2 linked regions of the Oryzias latipes genome follow. The protein of the gene in region 1 purifies or fractionates together with the protein of each later gene. This does not show direct contact. Links are inferred from orthologs where the notes say so. Each region holds a gene or a part of one and is shown on either strand. Other genes may lie near its edges.

What was found.
Region 2: the proteins of dnmbp (region 1) and bin3 purify together in Homo sapiens (co-immunoprecipitation; 5 studies listed by BioGRID and IntAct, counting the BioPlex papers as one, with this or other methods). This does not show direct contact. The link is inferred for Oryzias latipes from reciprocal best matches to the Homo sapiens genes DNMBP and BIN3.

What each region holds. Positions count from the first base shown.
Region 1 is NC_019877.2:5,335,586-5,339,148, reverse strand, and holds part of dnmbp (dynamin-binding protein), read right to left. Parts: intron 3,499-3,563; coding exon 3,368-3,498; intron 3,289-3,367; coding exon 3,184-3,288; intron 2,452-3,183; coding exon 2,323-2,451; intron 2,244-2,322; coding exon 1,911-2,243; intron 1,659-1,910; coding exon 1,467-1,658; intron 1,394-1,466; coding exon 1,195-1,393; intron 373-1,194; coding exon 1-372. UniProt on the Homo sapiens protein: Plays a critical role as a guanine nucleotide exchange factor (GEF) for CDC42 in several intracellular processes associated with the actin and microtubule cytoskeleton.
Region 2 is NC_019867.2:16,934,977-16,939,327, forward strand, and holds the start of bin3 (bridging integrator 3), read left to right. Parts: upstream 1-1,511; 5' UTR 1,512-1,626; coding exon 1,627-1,634; intron 1,635-4,351. UniProt on the Homo sapiens protein: Involved in cytokinesis and septation where it has a role in the localization of F-actin.

The DNA.
Region 1 (3,563 bases):
TGCGGCTGGGAGAGTTTCTGCGTTTCTGCTCTGAAAGGTCTCTGCGGTCTGAGCGAATTTGGGGCGAGGAGCTCATGGAGTTGCTCTGGCTGCCGGAATCGAGCGCGTCCCGGGGCTGGCTCCTGCGAGAGGAGGCGGAGTCCAGAGACGGGTGTGGGGACGACTGGCTTTGGGGCTGGGTGGTGGAAAAGCTGACGGTGGCCGTATCCTGGTTAAAGGTCAGGGTGCTGCTGCTGTTCTGGCGGGAGAAAACGGGGGAGGAGCCGCCATAACCGGACTCATTGGAGGACTGGCTCTCAATGGACACGTCCGAGTGGCTCCTGCGCGGGTTGTAGGGTTTGAGAAAAGAGCTGTACACAAACCCCTTTGTAACTGCAAGAAAGAAAAAGGCAGAAAAAGAAAATGAATTAAAGCCATAGGCCGCCACTCTCATTGGCTACCCAGCGCTACACACCCCTCACTCTCCCCTGCTGCCTCTGCCACCCTGGTCAGTGCTGAACATTCCTTTTCATTAAAAACAAATTGAAGGCTTTCTGTTGGCCTCAACTCCATAGCAACCATTTTATTTTTTGGTCACCTGGGGGTGACGAACAGATCAATGCAATTTTTAGAAGAATCGGCTAAAATAAATGTTTGAATTTCCTTGGCAACCAAGGTTTTTGGTTAACCACGCCCACATTCCTAATACGTTGAAGCCGTATGTCATGTCGTTTTGTTCAGCTTGAGCCATCGATTCATGTGTTACATTTTCGCAATATTCTCGAGCAACAGGGGAACGCCACTTTTGCGAGCTCACAATGCGAACGAACGCTGTTCAAAAAGGACAAACTTTAAAACCAACAATTTTTACCCAAGTAGCTTCCCAGAGATGCTCAAGGAGGTTAGGAGGCGATAGATTCAAATCCCTTGGAGGAGTCTCAATTTGTAGAAGGTACTAAAGATGGAGACCGATTACTGGGGTTAAAGGTCAACAAAATGTCAGCTGAGGTTGTAAGTCAGTGGTCCCATTTGTATTTTTGATGTTGACTTCCTGCTGTGACTTTGACTATGTGGCGGGGGTGAAATTTTCGCTCAAACGTACAGTTGGGCAAATAAAATTGCAAAAAACAATCTGATCCACGCCATCCAGGACTGCTGCGGGACGAACAGAGGACATTTTCCTTTTCTCCATGAAGTTCAGAAGAAATATTTTACCTCCGTTATCAATCAACCAGCGGTTTTGGCTCCCCATGGGGTCCTGCTGCTTGATCACGCCCACAAGATCCCCCTCCTGTATGGAAATATCCAGATCCTGGGCGGCGTTGAAGTTCCTCTCAGCCTGGAAAAGGTTCTCGGGGCCGTAGCGCACGAGCAGCGCCGTCCGGTGCTCATCTGTCTGCAGGCTGCAGTTAGGCTGAAGAAGATGGACAGTTCAGAGGAGAAACTTTTGAAAAGTATTCGAATATAAAGAAATCCTGGGAACTCACAGGTCCTTGAAGCTGCTTTTTGGAGGTCTGTTTGTCCAGAGTTTTCTTCTCCACTGGCTTTTTTGTGGACGTGGTGAGAGGCAGGTTTTCGGGGCAGAAGCTGAAGCTTTGGAGCAGTCGGAGGACGCAGTTGTACTCCTCCTGAAACTGTGCGATTAGGTTTCCACTCGTTGCCCCTTTGTTTGAAAACTGCTGAAACAAGAAAAGAACACAAGCAAAAATGAATATTTTCCTAGATATTTTGTTTTTTTTAAATATCTTAAACTTTTTGTTTTCCCATCTTCTTTCAGATTTTGCGTTAGTTTTTGTACTTTGATGAGCACTTTTCTGTCTCTTAAGTTTAAACGATTGTTTAGGCAAGCATTTTATAGTTTTGTTGCCTCATTTTCAATCATTTTTTTTGATGATTAACCGTATTTTCTCGGTCTGGTGGATTAATAATACCTGCAGGAGCGGCTTCAGTTCTTCCATCGTCGTCCTCATGAAGTCTTTCTGGGCCTGAGCGAAGGCCGTAACGCAGCCTAGGAACATCTCCTCTGCGGTCTGGAGGAACTTCGGCAGCTCGTCTAGAAGCTGAGCGTTCAGAGCCTCGTAGTTATTGCGTGCCGCCCGCAGCTCCTCCTGGACGCGGCGGTCCTTCAGGCGCTCAGCTCGCTCCTTGCAGTTGTCGTAGTCCAGCAGCTTGTCGAAGCGTTTCTGGATGAGTTTGTAAGGCCCGGCAAACATGGCGAGCAGCTGAGTCAGCGGGTTGATGACCAGAGCTTCTGTGCGTTCCTTCTGCTCAGAAGAACAGCAGAGGTGGAGGTGAGGTTGTTGTTTAAGCTGGTCGTGTGAAAGCAAAAAGATGAGGACTCACAAACTGGGTGAACTTTCTGTCGCTGATGCAGCGGTGAGCTCTCTGAAAACATTCGGGGTCCATCAAACTGCGCTCGTTGTAGATGTCGCAGAAACTGATGGCTGCCAAGACTTTGACCGAGGCAGATTCCTGCAAAGAAAAACGTTTCCGCATAAAAATCCCTCGCTAAAACACAGGGCTATAATAAAAGAAGAAAAATAGACAAACATATGAGACTAAAGTAATTAAATTGTAAGGAAAAAGTCGACATGTTACGAGAATAAAGTCATGAAATTATAAGAAAAAGTTCAAAATTTTACAAGAATAAAGTACTAAAATTCTCCTAAAATTTAGACTTTTTCCTCAACATTTAACAACTTTATTCTGGTAAATTGTTGCATTTTTTTCATAATTGTACAACTGTTTCACATAAATTGACTACTTCACCCTTATAAAAATTTAGAGTTTTTATCATAATTCTACGACTTTTTACTGGTAAATGTATTTTTTTAATAAATAATTTTACAAATTCTTGCTGATAATTTTAACTTTATTCTGGTAATTCTCAAATTTAAAAAATATTATAGTTTTTCCTCATAATTTTTTATGACTTTATAACTTTATATAACAACATTATTCTCTCATATTCTTCCCTATTTTGTTTGTCAAATTTTGTGTCAAAGGCAAAGGGTTATTGGATTTTTGTGATGGGCATGTTTCTTTATGTATCATGTATTTTGTCTTTCAGTGTCACATAAGCCCGTGTGGGCTGGGCACATTAGTGCATGACACTTAAATAAATAAAATCAATCAATCAATCAATCTTTCCTCTTTTGTGATTGTACTTCACACATTTTTTGTAGAAGAAAAGAGTTTCTTTACCCTTAAATGCTGCAGATATAAGGAAATGTCTCTGATAAACGTCTTGATCAGTCTCTCCTGCAGTCTGAACTTCTTTTCAGCCTCATCAAACACTTCATCCTTAAACTGGGAAAAAGATGAGGAGTTTTTAGAGCAAAACAAACCAAAATCACAAAGTCCAAAACCTTTTTTTTTTAATCCCTACCTGAGGTGCCATTCCTGTGAGCTGCTTGAGGTGGCTGCTGACACGGTTGGATTTCTTAATAATGGAGTGCATGCTCAGCTTGGAGATCTTGTCGATGAACGTGTCTTCATCCCCTTTTCTGTATTTCATCACTGTGCACAAAAAAAAATACATTTTGTCAACACTTTTATAACCACAGTACAACATAAGAAGCCAG
Region 2 (4,351 bases), on another chromosome or scaffold:
CTAAAGTGGTTGGTTTCAAGATTTTAATATTTGTTTTAGCCCAAGCTGTTCTCACAGCAATGGGAGAAAACCAATTGTTTATCAGTAAGAATTATTTTTGATTTACAACTGGCCCTAAGTTCATATAAAAAAAAAAGAACATTGTATCACTATTTCCCCAGATAAATGTCCAAATGAAATCACGTTATTACAAGCTTACATTTCGTCATTAGCCTGACTTTTGTTGACACCATTTTTGTTGTATAATTTTTGTAAATTATGTAAATATAAAACAATCTACTATATCTTATTTCTTTTATTCAGCATTTTTCCAGCAGTGCAATATTTGACAAATACCACAGATATGCATAAATACCCATTAAACTCAATACCTCTTCGATGTAATAAAAATACATTTGACAAAACACTTTTTCTTGGTCATGATTAAGAGACTGAATGTTTGAAATTTTGAATTTGTCCCATCCTCTCACCATTGGGTCAGCAGCCACCTTTGTGCCAAACTGGGTTGCAGGGTTGGCTGATCACAGACAATACATGTAGAAAAATCTAACAGGAGCAAAAAAAAAAAAAAAAAAAAAAAGACAGAAAGAAAGAAAAAATAAATCGTAAATATTTGCTTGTTTCTAAGGGCAGCCTTTGTTTTTAACCCTTTGATTTACATAAGAGAATGAATAAATATTGACCTCCGTAAGAATGGGAAAATAGAAAACTTTTATATCAATAACGATGTAGATATTTTAAGCAAATCATGTCATCTTATGGACTACAGGGTGGCTTCAGGGATTTTGTGGTCTTCAGCCGTGACATTGGTGTTAAAATGGAGTCGGTACTCACTGTTTTTTTGTTTTTTTCTTTTCTTTTTTTTGTTATGTTGTGTTTTCTTTTACTGACAATATACCCTCATGTTTGCATGTGCACGGAAATTTCCCAAAGTGCTACCTACCCTCTGCAGGTGGTCCTTATTTCTTTATTATGCATGAAAAAAGTCACTTTGGGTCAAATAGGACAAACATAACAACAATGCAAAACAGAAAACGATGGAACATACATTGGGATAACTGTTTAGTTGGCTTTTTTTTTCTTGTTAAGAAAAACAGTGGGTTTTGTTCAAATGTTTGGGATGTCTTTAGTTTATCTCATGTTTTTATTACCTTATAATAAGGTCCTTTTGCAACAAGAAATAGTTGTACAATATCCTTGTGGTTGGGGGGATGAGGTGCTCCCCTGTTTACATGACACTTCTGTTTGTTGTAATGCAATTGTTTTGTTATTTCTATGTAAGTACTTGAATAAAAAACATCACCTGACTTCAGTTTACTAAAAAGTCCTGACAAAAACGCGCACTAAAGTTCACGCGCGCACACGTAGATATTCAGAAATAAAAAATAATAAATATATACGTTGTCTCAGATATTATATATGTACATTATTTTTTTGTCATATATGATTTTGACTCCTATATGTGAAAACCTGATGTTAAAAGAAATCTTTTATTAGAGGAAACGTGAACGTCTGCGCTTTGGTTCACTTCCTGTTTGAAGCTCGAACGTCGAGTAGTACGAAAGGTATGTTTGCTGGGAAATAAAGAATACTGCTGGGCATAGAAGAATAAAAAGAACTCCCAAGATGAGCTGGTACGTATATAGAAGAATAGCTAATGTTTTGTTATATTTTGTAATATATTGTGGGTTATAATATCTGTGTTGAAGGACTTGCTTTTTTTCGTTTGGATCCGGCTAGTTCCTGGAAGTGCTACATAAACAGTACTTCAGACATGGAGTTAGCTTTAGCTTGTTACACTTGAGCTGTCAATCCGAAACTTTTCTTTAGTAATACTTTCGTAGATATTTGACTTGTGTACTTTGTAAAGAAAAAAGAAAAAGAAGAGCAGTTCCAACAGCTACACGATTGCCTCAAAAAAAGAAAGAAAAGAAGAAAAAGTCGTGTAGCTTCTTGCTAGACTTGTCAGGTGACGTTAGTACAACCTGTCAGTCACGTCCTTCAAAAATAGCTCTTCAAAAATGTTCCAAATGTTAATTGTTTCTCTATATGTTCGTATAATAAAGACGCAACGCTGTGCTTTAAGCCAAAAACATAGATTGTTGCTAAATCACAGGCTAGTAAACCTTTAAGGATGTGGTGTCACTGTCATGGCTACCACCTGAATCTTAACCTCTTGAATTTATTTGAGACTTAAGTTCCCTTAGTTTTTAACTATGGAAACCTACATTTAGCATTTAGTTATAAAAATAAGGATGAACTAAGTTTTACTTTGGTTTCCTTCGTTTATGTTATCTAAGTGATAATACACAAAACATTGAAAAGTATTAGATTTTTGCCACATTACGGTGTCTGGAAGTAAACAAGTAGTCTTTAATTCTATATCACTTTTTACATAGTAAAATAACAATAAATGGATATGTGAAGCATAACATTGGAACATGAAACCAAATGAAAGTTTTTACAATTGTTAAAGTTAAAGATCCAGTCCAATGAAAATCGTGTTCTTGGTGTGTTTTTTTTCATGTTCTTGTGGCATTTTTCTCATGATGGAGGACATGCAGACCGTCATCCTCACATACCCTGGAAGAAATTATGGAAAATATGAATGATAGCACAAAAACCTTTTTCCACTCATAGTTGGTGGTTGGGTGAAGTCATTTATTGTAAAAAATTTAAAAAATATATGTTTACCCTTTTTAAATCATTATGACAACAGAAACTTCCCAAATATTCTGTTCAAAAGTCTACATACCCTAATGATTTTGTTCTGAAAACATGCAGACAGATTGATACAAAAGAGTTTGAATGACAGCTAAGTTTGCCTGTAATCAATGTGTGTCCACAAAAGGTCTTGGAGTTTCTGAGCTCCCAACAAACCCTTGCATCCTTCATCCAGTGCTGCACTGACATTTCTGGATCCTTAGTCATGGGGAAAGCTGCAGAATGTGGCTTAAAAAGGGTAAACAGAATTATTTTTTACAGTAAATAGCTTCAACCAAACACTTACTATGAGTGGAAAAAGGGTTTTGTGTTATCATTCATATTCTTTGAAAAATGACGAAGAAATCATAGTTTCTTCCAGTGTATGTAAATCTATGAGCACAACTTTAAAGAAAATTAGATTTAAAATTGTAATTCTGAGTATTTCTTTATTTAAATCATTGGGAATCAGAAGCAGAAGAAAAAATGTAGTTTGAAAAAGCTTGTAGCAGTGTCGTAGGATCTACAATGGCAATCCACTAGCTCCCTGCTCCTCTCTATTTTGATGCATTCACTTGTAGACGACAAGATCCACATACTACTTTGTTTTCTTGGCCGAGCTGAGATCTGACTCCAAACTGTACGGCTGGATATCGTATTTTCACAACCATAGGGCGCACTGGATCATAGGGCGCAGTTTCAGTTATGGGTGATTTTTCTGTAGGAGCACCAGGTTTTAAGGCGCGGGCACGTTAACACATATCGGTAAAACACGCATGCAAGTGTGTGTTTTTAAAAAAGGCAGCTGGAGCAAAACTGAGTTGGTTGAGATTTATTTTTTTTTTTCAGTCAGCAATAATCCAAAATCCATCAAAGTCTTCATCTTCTGTATCTTAAATGAACAGCGGGGTTAAATTTCTGTCCAACACAGCAGGTTCCCTTTCGTTATTGTCAGAGTCCGTCTCGTTGCCGTGCGGCTTTAGTCGAATGGTGACTGTAGAGACGCTTCTCCCAGTTTTTCTCTGATCGTTCATCCATCGCTCGAGTCGGTCTTCTAACTCGGGCCACCTCGCCGTGTTTCCACAGAAACTCAGCTGCGTCTTCTTGACTTGTCGGAGTTCGTTTTCTAGCTTCCTCCACTTGCGAACTATATATTCATTAATTTTGAATTCTCTCGCAACTGCTCGATTCCCATGTGCCTAAGGTTGCAGTTTATACTGTGCTTCATAAGTGTGTCTCTTTGCAGGTGGCATTTTCAGGGTTTCCAAAACGATGTTCTGCATAATGCACATACCTGCACTTTAGTACTATTTGGGGGGGGGGGTCTTCTTCTTTCATGTCCTCACTTCCCTCCTTGCCGTTGTCATGCGTCATCTCCTATGTCCTCTTCACCGAAGGCACGCAACAACACATTAGGCGCACCACACCGTAGGGCACTCCGTACATTTTGGAGAAAATGTAAAACTTTTAGGTGCGCCTTATGGTCCTGAAAATACGGTAGTTCCAAAATTGCTTTCCTTTTTTGTTGCACCTGTAATGTTAGGATGGGGGTCCAAGGAGCTGTAAGCTAGCGGGGGAGAGTGTTAAAAAAGGGGTGATGGGAAATGGGGGAAGGCTTACTCCGTGGCAGCGGTCTTGCCCACAATTC